Oryctolagus cuniculus: one gene and its partner. The protein of the gene in region 1 interacts with the protein of each later gene in a pairwise test. Links are inferred from orthologs where the notes say so. Each region holds a gene or a part of one and is shown in the gene's direction. Other genes may lie near its edges.

Region 1 (12,799 bases):
CCCTGCGGGAGCAGAGGCAACAGAGGGTGGCCGGCGGGGTCGGGGTGGGCCACAGCCCGTCGCTGCACCGCCTTCCACTGTCGCCCCAGAGTGGCCAAGCCGGGGCCCTCCTCACCCAGCCCCTCCCCTAGGTCCACCACATCAACGCCAACTACTTCCTGGACATCACCGCCCTGAAGCCCGAGGACGTGGAGAGCAACGTCTTCCGCTTCTCGTCCACCTTCGAAGACCCGTCCACGGCCACCTACCTGCGCTTCCTGCAGGAGGGGCTGCGGCGCGGCCTGCCCCTCCTCCAGCCCTAGCTCGGGGCGCCGGGTCTGCAGCCCCCACCCGGCTCCCAGTCAGCCAAGGGTGGCGGCCCTAGCTCTGCCCCGGAGACGGTGGCATGGGGAGGGACGCGGGGACACAGGTGGGGGGACCCCTAGCTCGGACCACCAGCAGCAGCCCCTGCCCACCCACCTGGCTCTGGAAGCTGCTGGGAGCTCCCCAGAATGCACCTGGGGCGCTCTCCCTGGGCCTCGCCTCACCCCACCCAGTCACACAGCCCGGGTCCTCACCAGCTGCGCTGTCCTTGCTTTGACCCCACTCCCAGAGGAAACTTCAAGGAGCCCCAGCCCGGGCAGCACTCCGTCTGTCTGGAGCCCTCTTCCCGGCCACGTGCCCTGCTGTGCCCGATGTCCCCGGCTGGGGCCGTCCCCGGTGGACACAACGTTCCAGAGCCTCTGGGCGGCGCCTCCCTTTCAGAAGTGGAAACTGCACTCACCCCTGTGCTCCCAGCCCACGCGGCGGCCTCGTGACGGGACACCGGAGCCCCGGCAGGGACTCACGGCGGCGCCAGCTGCCCGGGCTGGGCGTGTCTCCCTGCCTCCAGCCAGGAGCCCCGCTGAGGCTGGCCCTGAACCCGGGGCCCTGCAAGACGGCTGGTGCCCCTCCGACTTCTAACTCCTTGGAGGTCTGCCCAGCAGTCAAAGAACACAAGCTCCCCCGGGCCAGCTCTGTCTCGGCCACCAGGCGTGCCCAGACCAGCTTGCCCACGACCCCCGGGGTGAGGGCCAGAGGGGCAGCACAGCCGGCTCTCCTGGGCCACTCCTGAGCCATGGGCCATGCCCAGCCTCTTTTTTATACATGCAGAAAAGCGTTTTTACAGAACTTCCGCAGTTTGTAGGTATTTTGATAACCCCGTGATGAGAAGGGAGGGGCTGTAGCCCTCTGGCAGCAGCTCCATGACAGCTGGGTCTGAAACCCCAGAGGACCCAGCCTGATGTCCCTGCTGCTGTGCGGGTGGGACGATGGCCCCTCCCTTCTCTTCAGCTCTGACCTGCCCTCCGCCCGGCCCCAGGGCGCCCTGGGAACCTGCCTGGAGGTGGGGCCTCTCTCTGCCTGCCCCCTTCTCTGTCCTCCACCCCAGGGGTTCACCTCTCCCTCACCCGCCCTCCGTGGGAGTGCCCACACGGAGCCAGCCACGTTCCCCACGCCGTGTCGGGTATAAATCAGCAGCAGGTGCTGAGCCAGCTACGATGACGCGTCCTTGTGTTCTCTCGCATCCAGCCTGCAGGGGGGCAGGGCATGGTCAGCGGGCCCATTTTGCGGGTGACTTGAGGCTCAGGAAAGGGACAGGACTCTGAAGTCACCCAGAGTGGGGGAACTGAGATTCAAGCCCACGGGTGACTCTGAAACCTACATCTTGATTGTGTGTTGGGGGGGGACGGCTTGGTGCTGCACCCCCCCCCCCAACTCCCTGCCCATTTTCCCTGGGTGGAAGGATAGCCCAGACCCAGACTGTCTCAGTCTCCCCAGGCCTGCAGACAGGCGGGGCGCACGCCAGCGAGCACGGCCAGGTTCTCCGTCCTGACGGGCTGGAGGGCGCCTGAGCTGGCAGCGCATCCCCTGAGCCTCCCTCCGGGTGCCAGCACACACCTGCCTCCCCCACCCCGGCAGGTTCCACCTTGTGCTGCTTGGGGAGGGCAGGCTCCACACGGGACTGTCCTAGTCCTGGGCGACGTGCTGGATGCTTGGGCTTCCAGTCTCCACCAGGGACCTCTGCCTGTGCTCCACTGGGTCTTGAGGCCCCCAGCCGCCTCTTGTCCTTGCTCTGCCACCTCCCTCCCTGGGCCCATACATGTCCTCGAATCTGTTCTCTCCTCCCCCAGTCCAGCCCCTCCGTCGATGGGACTGGCTGTGCAGAGTGGAGCTGGAATGACTGGCGACCGGCTTATCTGTCACCAGAGAGCCTGAGTGCCTTGCCAAAATGTTTGTGGTAGACCACGTGGTGAACTTACCATTTTCAAAGTCTGGTGTTCTGTATTGAAAAAGATTCTGAAGTTAACCCGTTGTCTTAGACGAAGGGCCTGAGCCAGGCCTTAGGCGATCTTTTTCAAAATTATGTATTTATTTGAAAGGCACAGAGACAAATCTCGCATCTGGTGGCTCACTCCCCAAAAGCCCACAACCCTAGGAACTAGTTGGCCAGGCCAACGCTAGGAACTAGGAACTCAATCCAGGTCTCCCATGTGGGTGGCAGGGGCCCAAGCACTTGGGGCACCCTGTGCTGTTTTTCCCAGGCCATCAGCAGGGAGCTGGATCAGAGGTGGAACAGCTGGGACATGAACGGGTGCCCATATGGGATGCCAGCATCACAGGTGGCAGCTTTACCCACTGTGCCACATTGCCGGCCAGGATTTATTCATTTGAACCCAGACATTCTGATGGGGGCTAGGGGTGTCCTACCCAGCATGTCAACTGCTGGGTCAAACACCCGCCCTCATGGATATGATGTGCACTTCAGGAAAAGACCTGTAAAACGACAAGGGAGCAGAAGAGGGAAGGGTTAGGTTAGGGTCTCAGCGCCCGGGCTCGGCCGCATCTACGGGGAGGCTGTGGGTCACAAACCACACTGCACAGCTGTGCCAGCCTTTCACATCTCGACCAACCAGCTACTGGCCTGGGAGCAGAAGAGTAAACGCCCAGGTTGGTGGGCTTCGTCCTCCTTCTGCAAGGGGAGCCGGGTGAGACGCCACAATTATACACCCAGGAGAGGCGGCATGAGGCTTGGACCCGGGAGGAACAAAGCATGATTTGCCGTCCTGGAAAAAGAGCTGGACTCTTCCAAGACGGATGTCCTCTGAGGCGTCTGGCCAGGACCAGCTTTGTATCTGCAAGGCTCTGCAAAGTGAAAATGCAAGACCCCCAGTGTAGAAATCATTAGTAATTTCAAGAGGGCAGCTGCAGAGCACTGAGCTGAGTGTGCGGTTCTGGAAATGGGGCTCTGTGGGACTGCACAAGCTGTTCACCCATGAAGCCGGCCCGGGCACACGGGATTCAGGCATTGGGACCAAGGGATTGCATCCCAGGAGCCGGGCACGGCCTTAGGCTGGGGTCAGAGAAGAAACGGTGGCCTAGGAACTAGGTGCCACCGAGACCAGGAGTGAGGGAGTTGGTCTGACCAGTGTGGGTCTCTCTGCCAGGGCTTCTGGGGTCTGGCCCGCCTAACCGATTTTGGAAGGTGCCGCCTGTAGGACCAGTGCAGTGGTGCAGTGGGCTGGGCCGCAGGGTGGGTTGCCCACAGCCCATAGTGCTGGGCTGTGCTGCTTCTGACCCCCTTCCCCCAGTGTGCAGCAGAGGATACCCGAGTACCTGGACACTTTCACCCGCGCGGGGGACCCACACGGAGTTTCCGGCTCCTGGTTTCCGCCTGGGCGGGCTGTGGCTCTTGCGGGCATTTGAGAAGTGAACCAGCTTCCCTCCCACTTTTTTTTTTTTTTTTTTTTTTGGGTCATTCTGCCTTTCAAATAAATAAACTTTTAAATATATATGTGTGTGTATGTATATACATATACATACACACACATATATATATGCCATGTGGCTGTGCGTCTAAGGGTGAGATAAAGGCTAAGACAGAAGAAAGCCCCAAAGACTGGGGAGCCCATTCTCTTGGGGGAGGCCCACGGACTCGAGGGCCACGCAGAGGAAGCGCCAGAGCCCGGGGTGGGGGGCAACAGACCCCGCATATTTTAAAGGCCGAGCTGGGCAGACCTCGGCTTCCGGAAGTCGAAGGCGTACAAACGTGAAAAGCAACAAAGCGACGGCGACCCGCGCCGGAAGCGACGAATCAGCACCCTCGGGGATCTCCAGGCGCTGCCTGCGGACGGGGGCGTGCCCCGCCCCGCCCCCTCATAGGCCGCGCCCCCATCCCCGCCCCCTCAGAGGCCGCGCCCCCATCCCCGCCCCCGCCCTGGGCCCGCCTGCCGAGGGCGCGCGGGGGCGCGGCTCGGTGCGCAGCTGCAAAGGATCGCTTCCGGGGGGGGCGGGTCAGCGGAAGTCGGGGCGGTTGAGGCCGGGCTGCTCGCTGAGGTAGGAGGGGCCGTGAGGTGAGTGAGTCCCGGAGCCACAGTCTGAGGTGAGCAGGGTCCGAGGGCGGCCGGAGAGACAGAGGCGCGGCCTTCCGGCCCGGCCGCAGGCGGGGTCTCGGCGCCAGGCGCTGTGCGGGGCCCGCGGCTCCTGTTCCCGCGCGACTTCTCGCGGGAGCCGCCGCCGTCCGCTTCCTTTGGCACGGGGAAGCCGAGTCCCCGAGAGGGTAGTTACTCCTCCGAGCCGAGGCCGACCGGAGGGTTCGGCCCTTCGGAGACCCGGCCACGGGGCCTGTGGGGCGCTGGGGCGCTGGGCTGCTGGGCAGGCGGCGAGGACCTGGCCGACCTTGATCCGGGCCGGCGGGGTGTTGCGGGGGCGGGGACGCGCGTCCTGGCTGGGTCCCAGCGGCGGCTTCCCCGCGCAGCTGCGTGGGGGCCTGGCGGCGAGACCCACCGCGCGGGGCTCCGACCGTCGGTGCGCGCCGCGAAGTTTGCGCCCGGGCCGGGGTGCGGAGACGGCCCTGCTTGGAGCAGCGCCGTCTCCCCGGGGGGACGCGCGTGAACGGAGCGTGACGGCGGCCTCGGAAGGGGCGGTGGGGGCGCAGCAGCGCCGACGGCCCAGCAGTGTTGCCAGCCCGCAGCCCTTGGGGCGGGGAGCTTGGAGGCCGAGCTGGCAGTCTCCGGCTCCACGGATGTTCGAGCGCTTAGTCTGTTCCGGCAGATGCCGTGCGGCCCCTCCGGGAACCGCAGTTCGCGGCGGTGCTGCAGGGAACTGGGGCGCCCCCGACCCGGGCAGGACGGACGGTGACGCTGGGGCCGAGAAGCGGGTGCTGGCGTCGCCTGCAAGGGCGCGGGAGGTGTGGCCGTGACGCGGGGGCCGCCCCGCACCGGCCTCGCGGGGCAGTCTGGGGTCCAGGTTCTATCTTGTCGTCTCTAGCCAGCCAGTTTTAATCATAGAACCGAAGTGTTTGGGAAAATGCCTGCAGCTGTTGCATCAGGCCCACCGGAGGAAGTGGCCGTAAGGATTTGAGACAGAGGCACTGGGGCGCAGATGAAAGGCTTGGACTGAGGAGTGGAGGCAGCGACACCCGGGCCAGCCCCGGGGCCCTTCCTCCTCCAGCTTCCCTTCCCCGACACCTGCTTTCCCAAGGGGGAGACCCTCCGGGGGAACTCGCCAAAAGAGCGGCTTTGCCAGTCTCTGCTCCGCAGTGACCTCCCCCGGCGTCCCCAGCCCTCAGGACTTCACCCCCAGCCTGCCTCGTTGTCTTCTCATACTCCACCCCTCACCTTCCTACTCCCTCTGAACTCACCCAGCCTCCTCCTCAGTGAAAGTCACTGTCCGGGTCCCATCTCAGCTGGGTGAACAAGGGAATGCATAGGAGCGGACTGCACCTGCCAGGAGTGACCCCTTCCATCTGTGGCGTGTTTAACGGTTCATTAAGCACTTAAACCCATTTCACCGAACCTTAAGGTCAAGTGGAGAACCATTCAGAAAGATTAAATGACCTGCCGGAGGCTACAAGACGGCAGGTGGCTGAACCAAGATGCAGATTTGGGGCTCTTCTCCCCCCTCTGTTCACTCTCCTGCTGCCGCTCCAGCCCCTGGCAGGGGCCCAGCAATGCTTTTCCAACCCTAAGAATGAATGCTGGGCTTGGACAGTACCTTCCTTTTGGCTCTCCCATGAACTTTGTACATACCAACAGGTTCTATTTATGTCTTTAGAACATATTTTCTATTTATGTCCTTTTGCCTCAAGAAACCTCAGGGCCCAGGGAGGTTCCCCAGGTTGGCCGAGCTCACCCACAAAGTCGAACAGAACCTTTAGGGGCCTGGATTTGGAGCCTGTGGTGGGTGAAGGCAGCCTCTTGGAGTGGTTTTCTCCTCGTGTGAAACAGAAGTCTTGGTGTAGTCGAGGCTCTGCAGGGCCTACTTTTGTGGGGCTTGTGGCCACTGAGTTCCCACTGTGGGGGTTGTTTCACAGGAAGGAAAATCGGACATTCCTCAAGATGGCCTGATGTGCAGGCGCCACACCTCCCGCCTCTCCCTGCTGCCGTGGCTGCCCTGTCCAAGTGCAGGAGCTGGCTGCGATGTCGGGAATGGAAGCCAATGTGGTAAGGGACACTCCCAGGGCAAGGTGTGGTGGGAGAGTGGAGCACCGAGCCAGCCCAAGTACAGTACGAGGTTCTGACTCCCGCAATCCTTCTCCCTGGAGGCCTGGAACTGGAGCAAGGCTGCCCTTCCATCCCCTTCTCTGAGGAATCTGCTAGGCACTGGAGAAGTTTCAGGGCTCAACGTATTTCCACCTTCCTGTGCAGAGGGAGGGGAGGGGCACCTGGATGATCCCTGTACCCAGCTAACTCCTGGCCCCTTCACTGGGCTTCCTGACACTGACTGCCCCAGCAGCAGCATGTCCCTTGGGTGCTGGCTGTTGAGGAGCCTGTCCTCACTCATAGTAGAGACCTGACTTAGCCCCAGAGGGTACCCTGCCTCTGAGATTTGGAATCCAGTCTTCCTGCTAGAGTGGGCAGGGACAAAGGTAGCTGGACTCGCTGTCTCTGAAGTTGTGGCCATCCTGTCCCTCTTTGCCTAGACTATCCCAATCTGGCAAAACAAGCCTCACGGAGCTGCCCGAAGTGTGGTGAGGAGAATTGGGACCAACCTACCCTTGAAGCCGTGCCCCCGGGCAGCCTTTGAGGTGAGTGTGCTGAGGGCGAGGAGAGAAGAGGCTCTGTGCCTCAGACCTGTTGGTGTGTGCCAAGGCCAGCTGCCTTCCTGCTTACTTTTTCATTTGATCAAGAAGTATTTAGTAAGTGGTCCAGATAGCTCCTGCTCACGGTACCTTCTGATTGCACACACACCTGCGGCTACACGGCCTTCCAGTCTGTTCATGAGTGAACACTGACATCCTGGTGGCCTCTGCTGAGACTCTGATTTCATCGGCTTCAGCAGTTTATCAGAGCAGGCCAAATCTGCATGACTGTGCACATCTGCGCTCGAGCTGTTTGCCAACAACCCGAGGGTCTCCACGTGGGTCACTGAGTGTTATATTGACTCTTGAGAGCGATCTCTTCCATCTGCTGGTTCACTCCCTAAACGGCTGCAAAGGCTAGAGCTGGGCCAGGCTGAAGCCAGGAGCTCGATCTGTGTCTCCCGTGTGGGTAGCAGAGGCCCAGGTATTGGATCATCTGCTGCTTCACCAGGTACATTAGCTTAGCAGGGAGCTTAATCAGAAATGGAGCAGCCAGGACTCAAACTGGCTCATATGGGATGCCGGTGTCACAGGTGGTAGCTTAAACCACTATGCCAGCCCATGTGTGTCTCTTGAGCTTAACTCTCTTCTTCAGCTCTAAGTCCTAAGACTTGGCCACTTAGCCACTTGTAGTGTTTCTGAGGCCTTACTCCCCCCGTCTTCCTCTTTCTGGCTAAGTCTGGCCACTCCTTTACCAGGCTACTTCAGTGTTACCTCCCTGTCTGGGAGACTTTAGCTCTTCTTCTGTAGCAGAGTTCTGCCTGGCCCAGGTCTGAGACCTCCTCCTACCCTGAACGCTGAGCAGCATCTGTCAGTCCCAGCTGCCTCCCCCAGGAACCAACGGTGAAGCATCAGTTCCAGACTGCTGGTTAAGGTGTCTGTGCTCAGGACGCTGGGACACACCCACCTCTGCTTTCTGTCTATGCAGAGGAAACCCACATACGAGTGAAAGGTGTGCCCAGGCAGGAAGAGAGTGAAGGAGCTTGTATATCAGATGCTAAAGTGCAGGCTGTGTAGGAACTGGATCTGGAGTTGGAAGTGGTATCAGGCTTGGTGTTAGTTCAGGAATGAGGTTGGAAAGGGCTATCCCATAACCCAACTTGCCAATCACCCAGAATTGCCTAATTGGCAGGGGCAGGAGGACGTGGGTCCCAGCTGCCTTGGAAGCACTGGACAACAGGGAAAGACGGCTAAGCGTGACTGACCCCGTGCAGGGTGCCCCACGCTTGGCTGTCTCCCCTGCAGGCCTTGGACAGATGCTGCCAGGCACAGGCTCCCTCAGAGCAGCAGGGAGGAGCAGTGACACTGACGAGGGGCACACACTGTGCAGGCACTTCCCACATTACCTCGGTTAACTGCCCACAGCGAAGGGACATTCACAGCTAATCCCGGAAAGCAAACATGGCTCTCCCTGAATGGCTCACTCTGGCAATAGCTCTGGGTCAGTGACACTCATCCTCCTCGTGCCCTTGGAGTGTCACTTAATTCCTGTCAGTCCCAGGTTCCCTATCTAAAAGCAAGAACTGGCAACCCCTCATCCACCTAATAAACAATTTGTAACAGATGGAATTTAACTCATGCAGGTGTGCTACTGTCTTAATTATACCTAGATTTCTGTAAATCATCTTAAATATTAAAAGGAATCTTATTTTTAAAATTTAGCCCTATAAAAATTGTGAAAAGTAGGCTGGCGCCATGGGTCACTTGGCTAATCCTCCACCTACGGCACTGGCATCCCATATGGGCACTGGGTTCTAGTCCTGGTTGCTCCTTTTCCAGTCCAGCTCTCTGCTGTGGCCTGGGAAGGCAGTCGAGGATGGCCCAAGTGCTTGGGCCCTGCACCCGTGTGGGAGACCAGGAGGAAACACCTGGCTCCTGGCTTCGGATCGGCACAGTGCTGGCTGTAGCAGCCATTTGGGGGGTGAACCAATGGAAGGAAGACCTTTCTCTCTGTCTTTCTGTCTGTCTCTCTCTCACTGTCTAACTCTGTCAAATAAGTTGAAAAAAAAAAATTGTGGAAAGTAAAATAAGTTACCTAGAATCACACCATGACACAGCCACAAGAAATTTCCCGTGGCTAGAACAGATTTTTGATGACCCTGTACCCATACATTCTTTTTTTTAAAAGATTTATTTATTTATTTGAAAGAGTTACACAGAAGAGGAGGCAGAAAGAGATCTTCCATCTGCTGGTTCATTCCTCAAATGGCCGCAACGGCCAGAGCTGTGCCGATATGAAGCCAGGAGCCAGGAGCTTCTTCCAGGTCTCCCACGCAGGTGCAGAAGCCCAAGGACTTGGGCCATCTTGTACTGCTTTCCCAGGCCACAGTAGAGAGCTGGATTGGAAGTGGATCAGCCGGGTCTTAAACCGGCGCCTATATGGGATGCTGGCACTGCAGACAGCGGCCTTACCTGCTATACCACAGCGCCAGCCCCTGTACCCATATTCTCACAATCAAAGGGCAAGATGGCCATCTCTGTTTGTTTAATAATTATTTTATTTGAAAGGCAGAATTACAGACTAATCTTCCATTCACTGATTTATTCCCCAAAGATCCAAAACAGCCAGAGCTGGGCCAGGCTGAAGCCAGGTCTGACATGGTGGCAGGAGCCCAAGTACTTGAGCCATCATCCACTGCTTCCCTGGTGCATCAGCAGGGAGCTGGATGAGATGCAGAGTAGCCAGGACTGGAACCAGGTCTTCTTGTGGGATACAGGCGTCCCAAGCAGTGGCCTAATCTGGTATACCACAACACCTGTCTCATGGCCAGCCCTGTTAAAAGATCACTCAGGCCAGCTGGGAAGGCATGGGAGACCAGGAGGAAGCACCTGGCTCCGGATCAGCGCAGCTGCAACCATTGTGGCCATTTGGGGAGTGAACCAATGGAAGGAAGACCTTTCTTTTTTTTTTTTGTTTTTTGTTTTTTGTTTTTTGACAGGCAGAGTGGACAGTGAGAGAGAGAGACAGAGAGAAAGGTCTTCCTTTGCCGTTGGTTCACCCTCCAATGGCCGCCGCGGCTGGCGCGCTGCGGCCGGTGCACCGCGCTGATCCGATGGCAGGAGCCAGGAGCCAGGTGCTTTTCCTGGTCTCCCATGGGGTGCAGGGCCCAAGCACTTGGGCCATCCTCCACTGCACTCCTGGGCCACAGCAGAGAGCTGGCCTGGAAGAGGGGCAACCGGGACAGAATCCGGTGCCCCAACCAGGACTAGAACCCCGTGTGCCGGCGCCGCTAGGCGGAGGATTAGCCTAGTGAGCCGCGGCGCCGGCCCGGAAGACCTTTCTGTCTCTCTCTCTCACTGTCTGTAACTCCATCAAATAAATAAAAATCTTTTAAAAAAAAAATCACGCAGGCCAGTACCAATGAAGATCCTAAACTATTTGTAATCCCACAAACTGTCCTGCAAGCTGTTTCCAATCAGGACCATTATTCCACCCCTTCTAGGAAGCCTTCCTGACACCCAGTACTGGGTTAGGTGCTCCTCCTGTGTATTTTGCAATGTCTAATTGGCTTTTTGTGGAGTCAGTGTTTGTTGATGAATTTTACTTCCCCACAGACCCTGCCCAACATCTCTGACCTGTGTTTGAGAGATGTGCCCCCAGTCCCTACCCTGGCTGACATTGCCTGGATTGCTGCAGATGAAGAGGAGACGTACGCCCGAGTCAGGTAGCTGAGGCAGTGGCGGATCTGCTGGGGAACAGGGACCTTCCTCCCGGAAGTGGCAGGCAGCAGTGAGAGTGCTGTGAGAGGCTGAGGGCAGCAGGGATGAAAACTGTTCACCAGAGGGAAGCAGGACCTGTCACTCTTAACGTGGATGAAGGGGTTTGTGCAGGAGTGCGGTGCCAGCTCTCTGTGACTGCTGTGCTCGTTTTCCTCTGGTCCAGGAGTGACACACGCCCCCTGAGGCACACCTGGAAACCCAGCCCTCTGATGGTCATGCAGCGCAATGCCTCAGTGCCGAACCTGCGCGCGTCTGAGGAAAGGCTCCTGGCCCTGAAGAAGCCAGCGCTGCCTGCCCTGAGCCGCACCACTGAGCTGCAGGATGAGCTGAGTCACCTGCGCAGCCAGATTGCCAAGATAGTGGCAGCTGATTCAGGTAGGAGCCCCTAAACTGGGGCTTGGGATATAGCAGGCTGTCCCCTTGTTTTTGGAGGGACAGCATAGGGTTAAGGAAAATGGTGCTCCCTGGTTCAGGGGGATTTAGGCCCACGGCTCTGGGCAGTGAGGCTTGGGCAGACTCTAGTACTCCCTTGGAGAGTTCCTAACAACCATTTTGGACTGAATGGTTTGGTTAGGAACAAATAATCACTTAACCTGTGACCCCAGGCAGATTCCTTTCCTTAACTACAAAAACCAGTACCCTCTTCTAAGTGGTTTTTTTTTTTTTTTTTTTTTTTTTTTAATATTTATTTGAGAGGCAGAGTTACAGAGAGGGAAAGAAATATCTTCTATCCACCGGTTTACTCCCCAGATGGCTGCAACAGCTAGAGTTGGGCCAATCTGAAGCCAGAAGCTTCTTCCAGATTTCCCACGTGGGTGCTACTTGGGCCATCTTCCGCGTAAGCAGAAAGCTGGACCAGAAGTGGAGCAGCCAGAGGCTTAGCCTGCTGTCATAGCACTGGCCCCTTAAGTGTCTCCATGAGCCCACAGCAGCAGCTCCTCCTGTTTATGAAGCATTCCCCACCATCACCTCCCTGTTCCTTGCCCTCTGTATCAGAGGTCACCTCCCCACTCTTCCAGGTTTCTAGTTAAGGCAGAACCAATGGAAATGGATGAGAGCCTGTCTTGACCAGAGGCATGAACACCCAATACATTAAAGTTACTGAGCATCTTGGGAGAGATGAAACTCCTAGCTCCCAAACCTTATCAGTGGGCAGGGCACATAAAAATCATGGTATTACTTAATTCCATCACATGGGAGTTTCATGGATGAGCTGCACTTACATTTCCATTTCTAGGCTATTTTTTTTTCTGTCATCCAGGAGACTTATATAAGAAGCCAGACTTAGAAATATTCTAGTTGTTTTCAGAGTTAGAAGCACTAGATCAGTTAGAGAAAAAGAACAAATGCAGGCCTCGACTCTGTCGCTTTAGTCAAAGGCTGCCATCCAATTGCTGCAGAATGGGGATTTTTAGGAGCCAAGGGTGGGAAGGACAGCGGAGGACTCCCCCAGACTGTTCCTGGCAGCCTAGGAAATGGATGTTCTCTAGGGAGTGTTTGCTTTATTCTAGCTTCAGTGTTCATCTATGCCTGTTGTTTTCTCTTTCAGCTTCGGCTTCATTAACGCCAGATTTCTTATCTCCAGGAAGTTCAAATGTTTCTTCTCCTTTGCCTTGTTTTGGATCCTCATTCCACTCTACAACTTCCTTTGTCATTAGTGACATCACTGAGGAGACTGAGGTAGAGGTCCCTGAGCTCCCATCAGTTCCCCTGCTTTGTTCTGCCAGCCCTGAATGTTGTAAAACAGAACACAAGGCCACCTGTAGCTCCTCTGAAGACGACGACTGCATCTCTCTGTCCAAGGCCAGCAGCTTTGCAGACATGATGGGTATCCTGAAGGATTTTCACCGAATAAAACAGAGCCAAGATTTGTAAGTATTCTGGTGATCCATGTACTTTTTTTTTTTTTTTTTTTTTGACAGGCAGAGTGGACAGTGAGAGAGACAGAGAGAAAGGTCTTCCTTTGCCGTTGGTTCACCC
Region 2 (12,126 bases), on another chromosome or scaffold:
ATGAATGGCCTCAACAGTGCCCATATGGCATGCTGGCATCATAGGTGGCCAAAGTCTGGAGCCAGGAATGGGTCTCTCCCACGTGGGTGGCAGGTGCCCAAGTACTTCAGCCAGCTTCCACTGCTTTCCTAGGAACATTAGCAGGGAGCTAGGTCAGAAGTGGACCTACTGGGGCTCAAACCTGAACCCATATAGGATGCCAGTGGCTGAACCCACTACGCCACAATTCAGGCCCCTGAATATCACGTTTAAAGGAGAGTTGCAAACACTTCAAGATCAAGTCATTCTAGAAGAAACAAAAACTTATTTTTCTCTTTCTGCTTTTGCAATAAATTAGCAGCATCTTTAGTAGTTTGGGCGTGTTGATTAACCTATTACTTATTTTCCTGCTGTAGGCTCTGCGATACTTGGCAGAATGCCGTGCGAACAGAGAGAAGATGAAGGGGGAACTGGGTATGATGTTGAGCTTACAAAATGTTATACAGAAGTAAGTACAATAGATAGTGTTTCCCAATACAGTAGAAAAATTGATCTTGTTGAATATATACTGATAGTTAATATAGAATTTTAACCACATTTTTAATTCTATAAATGCATACTTATGTGGGCTCTGTGTTCAAAATGTTTTGGTGATTAATATTTCAATGACTAATGTTCTTATAATTCTTAAACACTGACATTAATAAAAGTCCTGGGACAGCGTTGTGGCAGAGCTGGTAAAAACAGTGCCACCTATGATGGCAGCATCCCATATGGGCACTGGTTTGATTCGTGGCTTCTCCACTTCTGATCCAGCTCCCTACTAATTGCCTGGGAAAAGTAGCAGAATATGACTCAAGTGTTTAGGCCCCTGCCTCCACGTGGGTGACCTGGATAAAACTCCTGGCTTCAGCCTGGCTCAACCCTGGTCGTTGCAGCTATCTGGGGACTGAACCCTGTAACTCTGATCTCCATAACAAATAAATCTTGAAAAAAAAAAATAGTCCTTAGAAAAACACTCAGCTTTATTAAAATTTTGACAGATAGTGTAATTATGAATCATTTTTAAATCAGTTAATTTATTTCAGAAGCAGATAGAACTCCCAACTGCTAGTTCACTTCCCAAATACCTACAATGACTGAGGCTGGGTTGGACTGAAGCCACAAGCCGGTAACTTAATCTGGGTCTCCTGCATGGGTGGCAGGAAACCACTTATTTGAGCCATCCCAACTACCTCCCTGGGTCTGCATTAGTAGGAAAGTGGAGACAAGATTCTGAGGTGGGTATTGAACCCAGGAGCTCTGATATGGAAGCAAATTAATTCATATTTTAGTTCCCCTGGAACTGGGGAAAGCTTTAGTCATGATTTAGGTACTTCTATAAGGGCTACTTTACTTGTATGGCTATAGAATGTGGTTTTGTATGTATATATGTGTGTGTGTATTTTATATATATCTGTAAAATGGTAGGGAGACTGCTTGTGTCTTTGTGAGAGAAATGGTGTCAGTTCAGGTATATCTTCTGGGAAGGAGATCCTGAGATAGCATTAGAAAAGGAAGAGCTTTATTGTAGCATAAGATCTGTAAAAGTAAAGAAGGACAAATCAGGAAAAGTCTTTAGACTTTCTGTGAAAGAGAAGAGGAAGCAAAGTGGGGCAAAAGTGGTCCCAGATTGCAATGCAGATTTGACAGCCAACCCAGTAGGAGAGCTCCAAGCAAAGATTACTATTGGGAGGAGTCCTGCACTGAGCAGAAATGGCCAGATCTTATTCCTCCTACCCTGCTTAGTCATTGACTGGGGACTGCCTGCGAAGGGCACCACCTTGAGTTTGTGATGGATCCCAAAGCCACTGTAGCGGGTAACTCTGCTACTGTGAGTAGATGGGCAAGTTCTTTGTTAAGGGGGATCCAAATAGTGTTTATCTGCTTGGCTACTGCAGTGACTTAGCCTTCTCTCTCTCTCTCTCTCTCTCTCTTTTTTTTTTTTTTTTTTTTTTTGTGACTTAGCCTTCTAATTCAAATAAATAAGGTATAATTTTTAGAATAATGTGGTGACTGTTGCTTGATAGTGAAACAGTCGTCTTGTACTCCATTATAATTTGATCCTTCAACCCTTTGAGAAGCAGAGATCTGAGGTACCAATTTTTTATATGCATTTTTCAGTGTACATATTTATATACATTTCTCAGTGTATATAAATATATATGTATGTGTGTATATATATACATACATATAAATACATATATATAAACACACATATATATATAAATCTGGAGATGTCAGATTTGAAGACTGCCTTGCAAGTTTTTTAAAAGTCTCCTTTGTTTACCAAACTTCTAACCACCTTAGAAGTTTATCAGTGTATTTGAGTGCTATCCTAATATGATAATTAGGTTGATAAAACCGTGTGTTTTTGCTTGTAAACATCAAGACTTTAAAGTGTTACAGTCAGATTTTGGGTCAACTTGTTAAATACTGCATTGTGACCCATCTCATGGCTCGCACGAGATTTTCCTTTTTTTTTTTTTTTTAAAAAAAAACAATGAGATTGCTTTGGTAATCTTATTGTAATTGTCTACCTATGTGTTTCTTTTCTTAAAATTTATAAGAAATCAGAGTGAGAAGTAGAGCAGAACGCGTTTTATATCTTTATCATCGAGGTGCCAGTATAAACTCACTTATCTGTCCTTTAGACATTATTTTGCATTTTGATATCTTTATTACCAGATGCACATGACTGATTTTTCACAATTCTGACTTAACAAACTTATGAGCTAATTAGTATCCCTTTCATATATAGTCACCTTGGCAAATGATAGCACAGAGATGGATATTAGATGCTCTCCTTGTGTTCTTTGATATCGCTACTTCATGACAGCCAGCCAGTCAGTGGGATTAGAAGCAAACTTTCAGAGCAGCCTCTGTCTTAGAGTACTGAGTTAGGGGAGAGCTGGTTATGCTGCTCTGGAACCATGCCACTAAAGAAGTACCAGGAGGATTTTTCCACGTTCCAGGAAGACCTGGAGAATAAAGAAAGTCTGGTGTGAAATGATGCTACCCTATTAACTGAAGAGCCTTACATCTGGCAGTGTTCACCTGGGGGGAGGGGGTGGTAGGAACAGGAATAGGGAGGAAAAATGGAGGTTTTTCTCCCCTTGAGAAGCAGAGGAGAGTATTACATAATGAGAAAATTCTGTAAATTAAATTTTTGTTGTTTAATTCCCATCTCATGTTTTGCTAGAGAATTTGCTGAGATTGGAACATGTATAAAACAGCAGTTTTGACTTGTGAGGTCAACTTGGTGCTTACAAATTGACACTTGGATTGAGTTCAAAATCACTGTTATCTTTAGTTCTTTAACTGTGAAAAGAATTTCAGCTCTCTGTCACTCAGAATGACTCTGACATTATATTCTAATTTTAATCTCTTCCATAAATAAAAGCTTGTTATTAAAGTATTAAAGGATAGAACCTTTCATATTATATTTTTAGTCCTAGATTCCTTTCTGAAAAGAGTTTTTAAGATGGTAGTTTAAGGAGAATTTTAAATCCAGTTTGAGATATTTGTTAATTGGTACTTCAAGAGTTACACTGCTAATACAAGTTGCTTTTTTTTTTTTAAATATTCCTTTTTATTTGTGTGTGATGGGGGAAGAGATCAATCTTCTGTCTACTTGTTCACTCCCCAAATGCCTGCAACAGCCAGGGCTGGGTCAGGCAAAGCTAGGAACTTGAAACCCAGTCCAGGTTTCTTAACTGGGTGACAGGGACCTAACTACTTGAGTCATCACCTCCTGCCTCCTAGGAAGCTGGAATTAGAACCAGAGCCAGGGCTTGAACCCAGGCTTTCTGGATAAGGGATATAGGTTTTCCAAGAGGCATCTTAACTGCTGTGCCAAACACACATCCCAAGATGTATTTCCTAAGCCACTTGAGAATATCTAACAAGGGTATACTATAAATAGAAGCCACTGGAATGAAATGTGGCATTTCAGCTTTGAAATATCTGAGTTCATCTGGGGAACTTCTAAACTTCTAAGATTCTAGTTTGTGTGTGTGTGTGTGTGTGTGTGTTTTGAAGAATAATTTATTGGGGCCGGCACTGTAGTGCAGCAGGTTAATGCCCTCGCCTGAAGTGCCAGTATCCCAAATGGGTGCTGGTTCTAGTCCTGGCTGCTCCTCTTCCGATCCAGCTCTCTGCTATGGCCTGGAAAAACAGTAGAAGATGGCCCAAGTCCTTGGGCCCCTGCACCCACGTGGGAGACCCAGAAGAGGCTCCTGGCTTCAGATCGGTGCAGCTCTGGCTGTTGTGGCCATCTGGGAGCGAACCAGCAGATAGAAGACCTCTCTTTCTGTCTCTACCTCTCTCTGTAACTCTGTCTTTCAAATAAATAAAATAAATCTTTTAAAAAAAGATTATTTATTTGAGAGGTAGAGTTAGAAACAGAATGAGAGGTCTTATATCCACTGGCTTACTCCCCAAATGGCCAGGCTGTCAGAAGCCAGGAACCAGGAGCTTCTTTCGGGTCTCCCACATGGGTGCAGGGCTCAAGCACTTGGACCATTTTCTACTGCTTTCCCAGGCCATGGCAGGCAGAGAGCTGGATCAGAAGAGGAACAGCCGGGACATGAACTGGCGCTCATATTGGATGCATGCACTGCAGGTAAAGGCTTAACCTGCAACTTCACAGCACTGGCCCCCTAAGGTTCTAGTTTTCAGAAATTTTTAATTGGGGCCAGCACTGTGGTACAGTGGATTAAAGCACCAGCATCCCATATGGGCATGGGTTTGAGTCCCAGCTGCTCCTCTTTCTATCCAGTTCTCTTTATGGCCTGGGAAAGCAGTAGAAGATGGTCCAAGTCCTTGGGCCCCTGCACCCATATAGGAGATCCGGAAGAAGCTTCTGGCACCTGGCTTTGGGTCAGTGTAGCTCTGGCTGTTGCGGCCATTTGGGGAGTGAACCAGCAGATGGAAGACCTCTCTAGCAGTTTCAATCTCTCTAACTCTATCTTTCAAATAAATAAATCTTTAAAAAATGTTTTAAATGAACTTTTACTATTATTTGAAAGGCAGAGAGACAGAGACAGACAGAAAGGTCTTACATCTGCTGGTTCACTAATCAAAAAACCCAACAGCTGGGCTACTCTAGGCTGAAACCAGGATCCTGGAACTCTGTCTGGGTCTCCCACATGGGTGGCAGGTACTCAAGTACCCGGACTATTACCTACTGTCTGCCAGGGATCCTTGGCAGGGTGTGCATTAACAGGAAACTGGATCTGAAACAGAGCCAAGCACTCTGATATGGGATGTAGACATCCCTAGCAATGTCTTAACAATGTCTTAATTGCTGTGGCATATGCCTCTCCCTGAAGTTCTCTTCTCTCTCTTTTTTTTTTTTTTAGATATTTATGTATTTATTTGAAAGACTTTTCAGAAAGAGATCTTCCACCTGCTGGTTTATTCCCCAAATGGCTGCAACAGCCTGGGCTCAGCCAGGCTAAAGTCAGGAGCCAGGAGCTTCTTCTGAGTCTCCCATGTGGGTGCAGGGGCTCAAGTACTAGGGCCCCTGCTTTTTTTAGGCCAGTGGCAGGAAACTGGATCAGAGGTGGAGCAGCCGGGACAGGAACTGGCACTGCAGTATACTGGTATACTGGCACTGCAGGCAGTGGCTTTACCCGTGATGCCACAACACTGATCCCTCCCTGAAGTTCTTTATTTTAAAAGAATATTATAATAAATGGTGGTGTGTCCTTGCTGAAAATCTTTGTGGAAAAAAAGTATGCTTTATTTCTCTATGCCTTTTCTCAGTTATTTTATGTTGAAATAATACCTGACCTACAGAAAACTTTTAAAAATAGTAGAAAGGATTCCTGCATTCTACCTTCTGCATTTCACAACAAAGAACAACAGAAAGGATATATGAAAATGCATTACTTTGTAGGAGATAGATAAGTGCCATAGTCAGTCAACTTGAAGAACTATAATAAAAAGACAAAATGAGCCGGTTCCGACAGTTTTTAAGGCCTTGGATATATATTAAAAGGTGTGGATTTAACCAAACCTATTTATTAGTGAAATAAGGATTATGTTCTTAGAGTTATATGTACTTTTTTTTATTAAATTCAATTAATTAATTAGATATTAGATTTGTGCCATCCATTATGGTGACCTCTTACTGCATATGCTATTTAAATTAATTAAATAAAATTTTTTTCTTTACTTGCTTTGGTTACCTTTCAGGTACAGATAAAGAACATTTCTGTCATTGCAGAAAGTTACATTAGTAGAGCACTAGGCTTTTTTTTTTTTTTTTTTTTTTAAGATTTGTTTTTATTTGAAAGTCAGAGTTACACAGAGAGAGGAGAGGCAGAGAGAGAGAGAGAGAGGTCTTCCATCCGCTGGTTCACTCCCCAAATGGCTGCAGGGAATGGAATTGCGCTGATTCGAAGCCAGGAGCTTCTTCCAGGTCTCCCATGTGGGTGCAGGGGCCCAAGGACTTGGGCCATCTTCCAGTGCTTTCCCAGGCCATATCAGAGAGCTGGATCAGAAGTGGAGCAGCCAGGACTACAACCGGTGCCCATACAGGATGCTGGTGCTACAGGCAGCGGCTTTACCCACTATACTACAGTGCTGGTCCCTAGATGTTGATATGAAAAACTACAGTGGGATTTAAAAGTTTAAGAATGAGTACTTTTACTTGAGACATGGTTTATGAAATATACTTGTTTTATAAAAGATATGAAGTATAAATAAAGGAAAGAATGCATAAAAAATTTCTTTCTTAAAATAGCTAATATACTGCCGGTGCCATGGCTCAATAGGCAAATCCTCCGCCTGCGGTGCCCGCACACCAGATTCTAGTCCTGGTCCGGGTGCCAGATTCTGTCCCGGTTGCTCCTCTTCCAGTCCAGCTCTCTGCTGTGTCCTGGGAGTGCAGTGGAGGATGGCCCAAGTGCTTGGGCCTTGAACCCCATGGGAGACCAGGATAAGTACCTGGCTCCTGCCATCGGATCAGCGCGGTACACTGTGGCCATTGGAGGGTGAACCAACGGCAAAGGAAGACCTTTCTCTCTGTCTCTCTCTCTCACTGTCGACACACTCTGCCTGTCAAAAAAAAAAAAAAAAAAAAGAAAAAAAGAAAAAAGAAATAAAAGAACGTGATAGACAAGATACTTTCTGTTGCACTTTTATATTGCTTTTAAATTGAACAAAGCATCAAAGTGAAGGAAATAAGGGTCCTTAAAGTTGAGAAATAAGACTACAGAATAGTGAGTAGAAGGGCAGGACTGATTTAATTTGTATGTGTCTCTTTTCCAGAACTACAACTCCAGGAGAAACAAAACTCCTGGCCTCTGAAATCTATGACATTCTTCAGTCCTCTAATATGGCAGATGGCGATAGCTTCAGTGAAATGAATTCACGTCGAAGGAAAGCTCAGTTTTTTCTGGGAACTACAAACAAACGTGCCAAAACAGTGGTTTTGCATATAGATGGTCTTGATGATACGGTGAGAATTTTACAGACATATTGATCATAAGAGGAGCAAGAGAAATCGTGTCAGCAAGTTTTTTTTTTTTTCAGTGTCATTTGATGTCTTCAAGAGTAAAAGTCAGTATCAGTATTTTGTACTCATTTTATGCGAAAGACATCATTTCATCAGAGGACATAACAATATCAAGTACTTATTTCTTATTAGGCCTCTAATAAGAAAGCTTCCAAACACATGAAGCAAAAACTGACAGAAATGCTGGGAGAAATTGGCAAATCCATAGTTAGAGCTAAAGATTTGAACAGTACCCTCAATTATTACAAGAAGCATACAGAAAATCAGTAAGGGTATCAAATACTTGAATAATAATATAAATCATCTAAACCTAATTGATATTTATGCAATAGTCTTATCTCACAACAGGGTAATACTCAGTTTTTTTATGCACATGGAATATTCACCAGTAATAGACCATTTTGTGGGCCATAAAACATAATAAATTTAAAAGAATTAAAATCATAAAAGTGTGTTCTGTGAGCATAATGAAAAAAAAACTGGAAATCAGTAACAGAAACATAACCTGGAAAATTTCCCTGAAACTTCAAGAATCTGAGTTTCCAAAACAATCCATGCATTAGTAATAAATCAAAAGAGGAATTAGAAAGCATCTTGAATAATTATGAAAATATAACATCAATTTGTGGGGAGCAATTGACACAGTATTTAAGTGGAAATTCATTCACACAAAATGTTTACAAAAGAGGAAAGATAAGCTTCTACCCTAGAAAGGTAGAAAAAGAAGAGCAAATTAAAGCCAAAGCAAACAGAAGAACAAAACAAAAAAGAACAGAAATCACTGAAATGAAAAACAGTGTCAGTAACAGGACATCATTATAGCTCTTACAGATATTAAAAGGATAAAATAAATATTTTAAATAACTTTATACCAATAAACTTGATAATGCTGATGAAATGGGGAAATTTCTTGAAAGACAATTACCATAGCCCACTCAGGAAGAAATACATGACTGAATTTCCTCCATATCTATTAAGAAATAGAAGTTGCAATTAAAAACCAACTTCAGGCCCTGGGTGGCTATACTGGAAGAAATAATACCATTTGTACAAAATCTTTTCAAGTATTGTGGAATTCCATTAGCAATTCTGCATAACTTGTGATTCCTTATCAATTTATTCTTCACCCTTACACTAAGCACCAACCCTTATATCTTATATTTATAGCTATACTTAAAAGTGGATTTCTTCCAGGCCTCATCTAGTCAAGTGTTGCTTTTTTTTTTAAAGATTGATTTATTTTACTTGAAAGTCAGAGTTACGCAGAGAGAGAGGTCTTCCATCCGCTGGTTCACTCCACAATTGGCCACAGTGGCCGGAGCTGTGCCCATCTGAAGCCAGGAGCCAGGAGCTTCCTCCAGGTCTCCCACACAGGTGCAAGGGCCCAAGGGCTTGGGCCATCTTCCAGTGCTTTCCCAGGCCATAGCAGGGCGCTGAATTGGAAGTGGAGCAGCCAGGACTGGAACCAGCATCAATATGGGATGCCAGCACTGCAAGTAGCAGCTTTATCCACTATGCCAAAGCGTTGGCCCCAAGTGTTGCTTTTTTGATCTAATCTAAAAACCTGCCTTTTAACTGGAGTATTTGGGCCATTTACATTTAGCATGATTATTTATATGGTTGGATTTGAAACAGCCATTTTGCTGATTGCTTTCTATTTGCTCTGTCCTTTGTGCCATTTTTCCTCTTTTTTCCTGGCTTCTTTGGACTGATTGGAATTTTTTTTAAAAGATTTATTTATTTATTTGAAAGTCAGATTTACACAGAGAGAAGAGAGGCAGAGAGAGAGAGAGAGAGGTCTTCCATCTGCTGGATCACTCCCCAATTGGCCGCAACGGCTAGAGCTGCGCCAATTCAGAGCCAGGAGCCAGGAGCTTCTTCCAGGTCTCCCACATGGGTGCAGGGGCCCAAGGACTTGGGCCATCTTGTACTGCTTTCCCAGGCCATAGCAGAGAGCTGAATGGAAAGTAGAGCAGTCAGGTCTCAAACTGGCGCCTGTATGGGATGCCAGCACTGCAGGTGGCTTTACCCACTATGCCACAGCACCAGCCCCATTTAATATTTCTTAGAGTATATGTTTGGAATGAAATCTTTGTTTCTTTTACATATTTATGGGTGGCAACTGGCAGAACATCATTTATCCCTTTACCTATGCTAGGTAGGTTATAATAGATTATCCATAGCTTTTTCTAGTTATAGTATTTAGGTGCTCAGGCCTCAAGATTTAGGTTTTTGTACATAAAAAGGAGTCTTTATATAAAAAGTTCATGGAAAGTGAATACTATGATAAAAAATGTGCATGGATTTCAAAAATATTTGGGCCAAAATAAATTATTTTTAAATTATATTTTCTTCAAGCTTTTTGAAGTATTCTTATGAGAGGAAGCCTTCCTTATGCATATTATCTGTGACAGAGCCAAATGAGGTAACACCTGTCTTACTGAATTTGGAGCTACAAGATCTTGAAAAATGTTTAGGAAGCAAGTTCTGATAAATATAAATTGAATGCAAGATATTAAGATATTGAAATATCTTTAGTACCATCACATTGTAGTGACTAAGAATATAATTCTTTTTTAAAACTAGCACAAACCAAATAATAAAACCCAATAAAGCACTTAGAAAAACATAGGCCAAATATATAGCAAGAATGTGATTGCCAAAATACAAAAGAAAACACTAGCAAGTTAACACTAGCACTGCGTTATCTTGCTCAGCACTTTTTAGTGACGTAACCTGGCACTCAGGATAAGTATATTCCATTGATTATCTGATTTGATAATCAACTCCAAGAGGAATGTCATTATCTTATTTTTGTAGAATGGGAAATTGAGTTTTAGAATGGTTTAAATAACATATCCAAGTCACATAGGTGGAGGAAATGAAAAGATGAGTCAAGATTTGAATCTAGGTAGTGTGATTCCAGAATTGAGCTTTTTTTTTTTTTATTAAATTATTTATATGAAAGGAAGAGTGTCAGAGAGATATCTTCCATCAACTACTTGCTCACTCCCCAAATGGTGTACAACGTTCAGGGCTGGGCCAGATTGATGCCAGAAGCTGGAGCTCCATAGTGGTTTCTCATGTGGGTGGCAGGGGCCCCAGCCCAAGTACTTGGGCCATTTCCACTGCCTTCCCAGGTGCATTAGCAGGGAGCTAATCAGAGGAGGAGCATCCAGGACTCAAATGGGCACTCTGAAGTGGGACGTGGGTATGGGCTGCCAGCATTGCATATGATGTTTTAACCTTCTGTGCCACAACATCTGTCCCATCTTCTTTATAGGGTCAGGGAGTAAATATTCTGGGCTTAGCACATTGACATGGGTCTCTGTCAGCTTTCTGCTTAGCAGGAAACTCATGTCATATGATACATGAATGAGTGACTTTGGCCATGTTCCAGTGAAATGTCATCTACAAAATCAGCTGATGGATTGTAGTTTGCTCATGCTTCAGCTAGAGGACTGTCTTTTTTTCTGGTTTTTGGCATTTTTTTCCTGTACTTTTTGTTTAAAATGTGAATTAACTGACTAACTTTATTATTTTATTTATTTATTTATTTTTTAACTTTTATTTAATGAATATAAATTTCCAAAGTACGATTTATGGATTACAATGGCTTCCCCCCCATACCGTCCCTCCCACCCACAATCCTCCCCTTTCCCACTCCCTCTCCCCTTCCATTCACATCAAGATTCATTTTCGATTATCTTAATATACAGAAGATCAGCTTAGTATACATTAAGTAAGGATTTCAACAGTTTGCTCCCACACAGAAACATAAAGTGAAAAATAATGGATGATTTTTTTTAAATGATGATGAAATCAGATCAGACCTATTGTCATGTTTAATCCCAGTGAGAGTCAAGTTGGGAGTTGATAATTTCTTTTTTTTTTTTTTTTTTTTTTACAGAGGATCAGTTTAGTATGCATTAAGTAAAGATTTCAACAGTTTGCACCCCCATAGAAACACAAAGTGAAATATATTGTTTGAGTACTCGTTATAGCATTAAATCTCAATGTACAGCACATTAAGGACAGAGATCCTACATGGGGAGTAAGTGCACAGTGACTCCTGTTGTTGACTTTACCAATTGACACTCCTGTCTATGGCATCAGTAATCTCCCTGTGCTCCAGTCATGAGTTTCCAAGGCTATGGAAGCCCTCTGAGTTTTTATTTATTTGACAGGTAGGGTTACAGACAGTGAGAGAGAGAGAGAGAGAAAGGTCTTCCTTCCGTTGGTTCACTCCCCAAATGGTCACAATGGCCGGTACTGCACCGATCCAAAGCCAGGAGCCAGGTGCTTTCTCCTGGTCTCCCATGCAGGTGCAGGTGCCCAAGCACTTGGGCCATCCTCCACTGTACTCCTCAGCCACAGCAGAGAGCTGGACTGGAAGAGGAGCAGCCAGGACTAGAACCTGGCGCCCATATGGGTTGCCAGCGCCGCAGGCGGAGGATCAACCAAATGAGCCACGGTGCTGGCCCCCTGACTAACTTCTTACAAAGTTGTTAACAGTACAGAGGAGGGACACATATTTGACACAGCAGTTACGAGGTCACTTGGGGCACCCAAATACCATATCG

What was found.
Region 2: the proteins of MTFR1L (region 1) and ARMC1 interact in binary tests that used the Homo sapiens proteins (3 or more experiments, as listed by UniProt). The two-hybrid records come from large-scale screens. The link is inferred for Oryctolagus cuniculus from reciprocal best matches to the Homo sapiens genes MTFR1L and ARMC1.

What each region holds. Positions count from the first base shown.
Region 1 is NC_091438.1:145,588,714-145,601,512, reverse strand, and holds the start of MTFR1L (mitochondrial fission regulator 1-like), read left to right. Parts: upstream 1-4,231; 5' UTR 4,232-4,370; exon of another isoform or gene 4,371-4,399; intron 4,400-4,482; exon of another isoform or gene 4,483-4,576; intron 4,577-5,770; exon of another isoform or gene 5,771-5,879; intron 5,880-6,331; 5' UTR 6,332-6,437; coding exon 6,438-6,461; intron 6,462-6,940; coding exon 6,941-7,045; intron 7,046-10,654; coding exon 10,655-10,764; intron 10,765-10,982; coding exon 10,983-11,194; intron 11,195-12,368; coding exon 12,369-12,690; intron 12,691-12,799. UniProt on the Homo sapiens protein: Mitochondrial protein required for adaptation of miochondrial dynamics to metabolic changes. Regulates mitochondrial morphology at steady state and mediates AMPK-dependent stress-induced mitochondrial fragmentation via the control of OPA1 levels.
Region 2 is NC_091437.1:91,307,860-91,319,985, reverse strand, and holds part of ARMC1 (armadillo repeat-containing protein 1), read left to right. Parts: intron 1-395; coding exon 396-487; intron 488-7,296; coding exon 7,297-7,486; intron 7,487-12,126.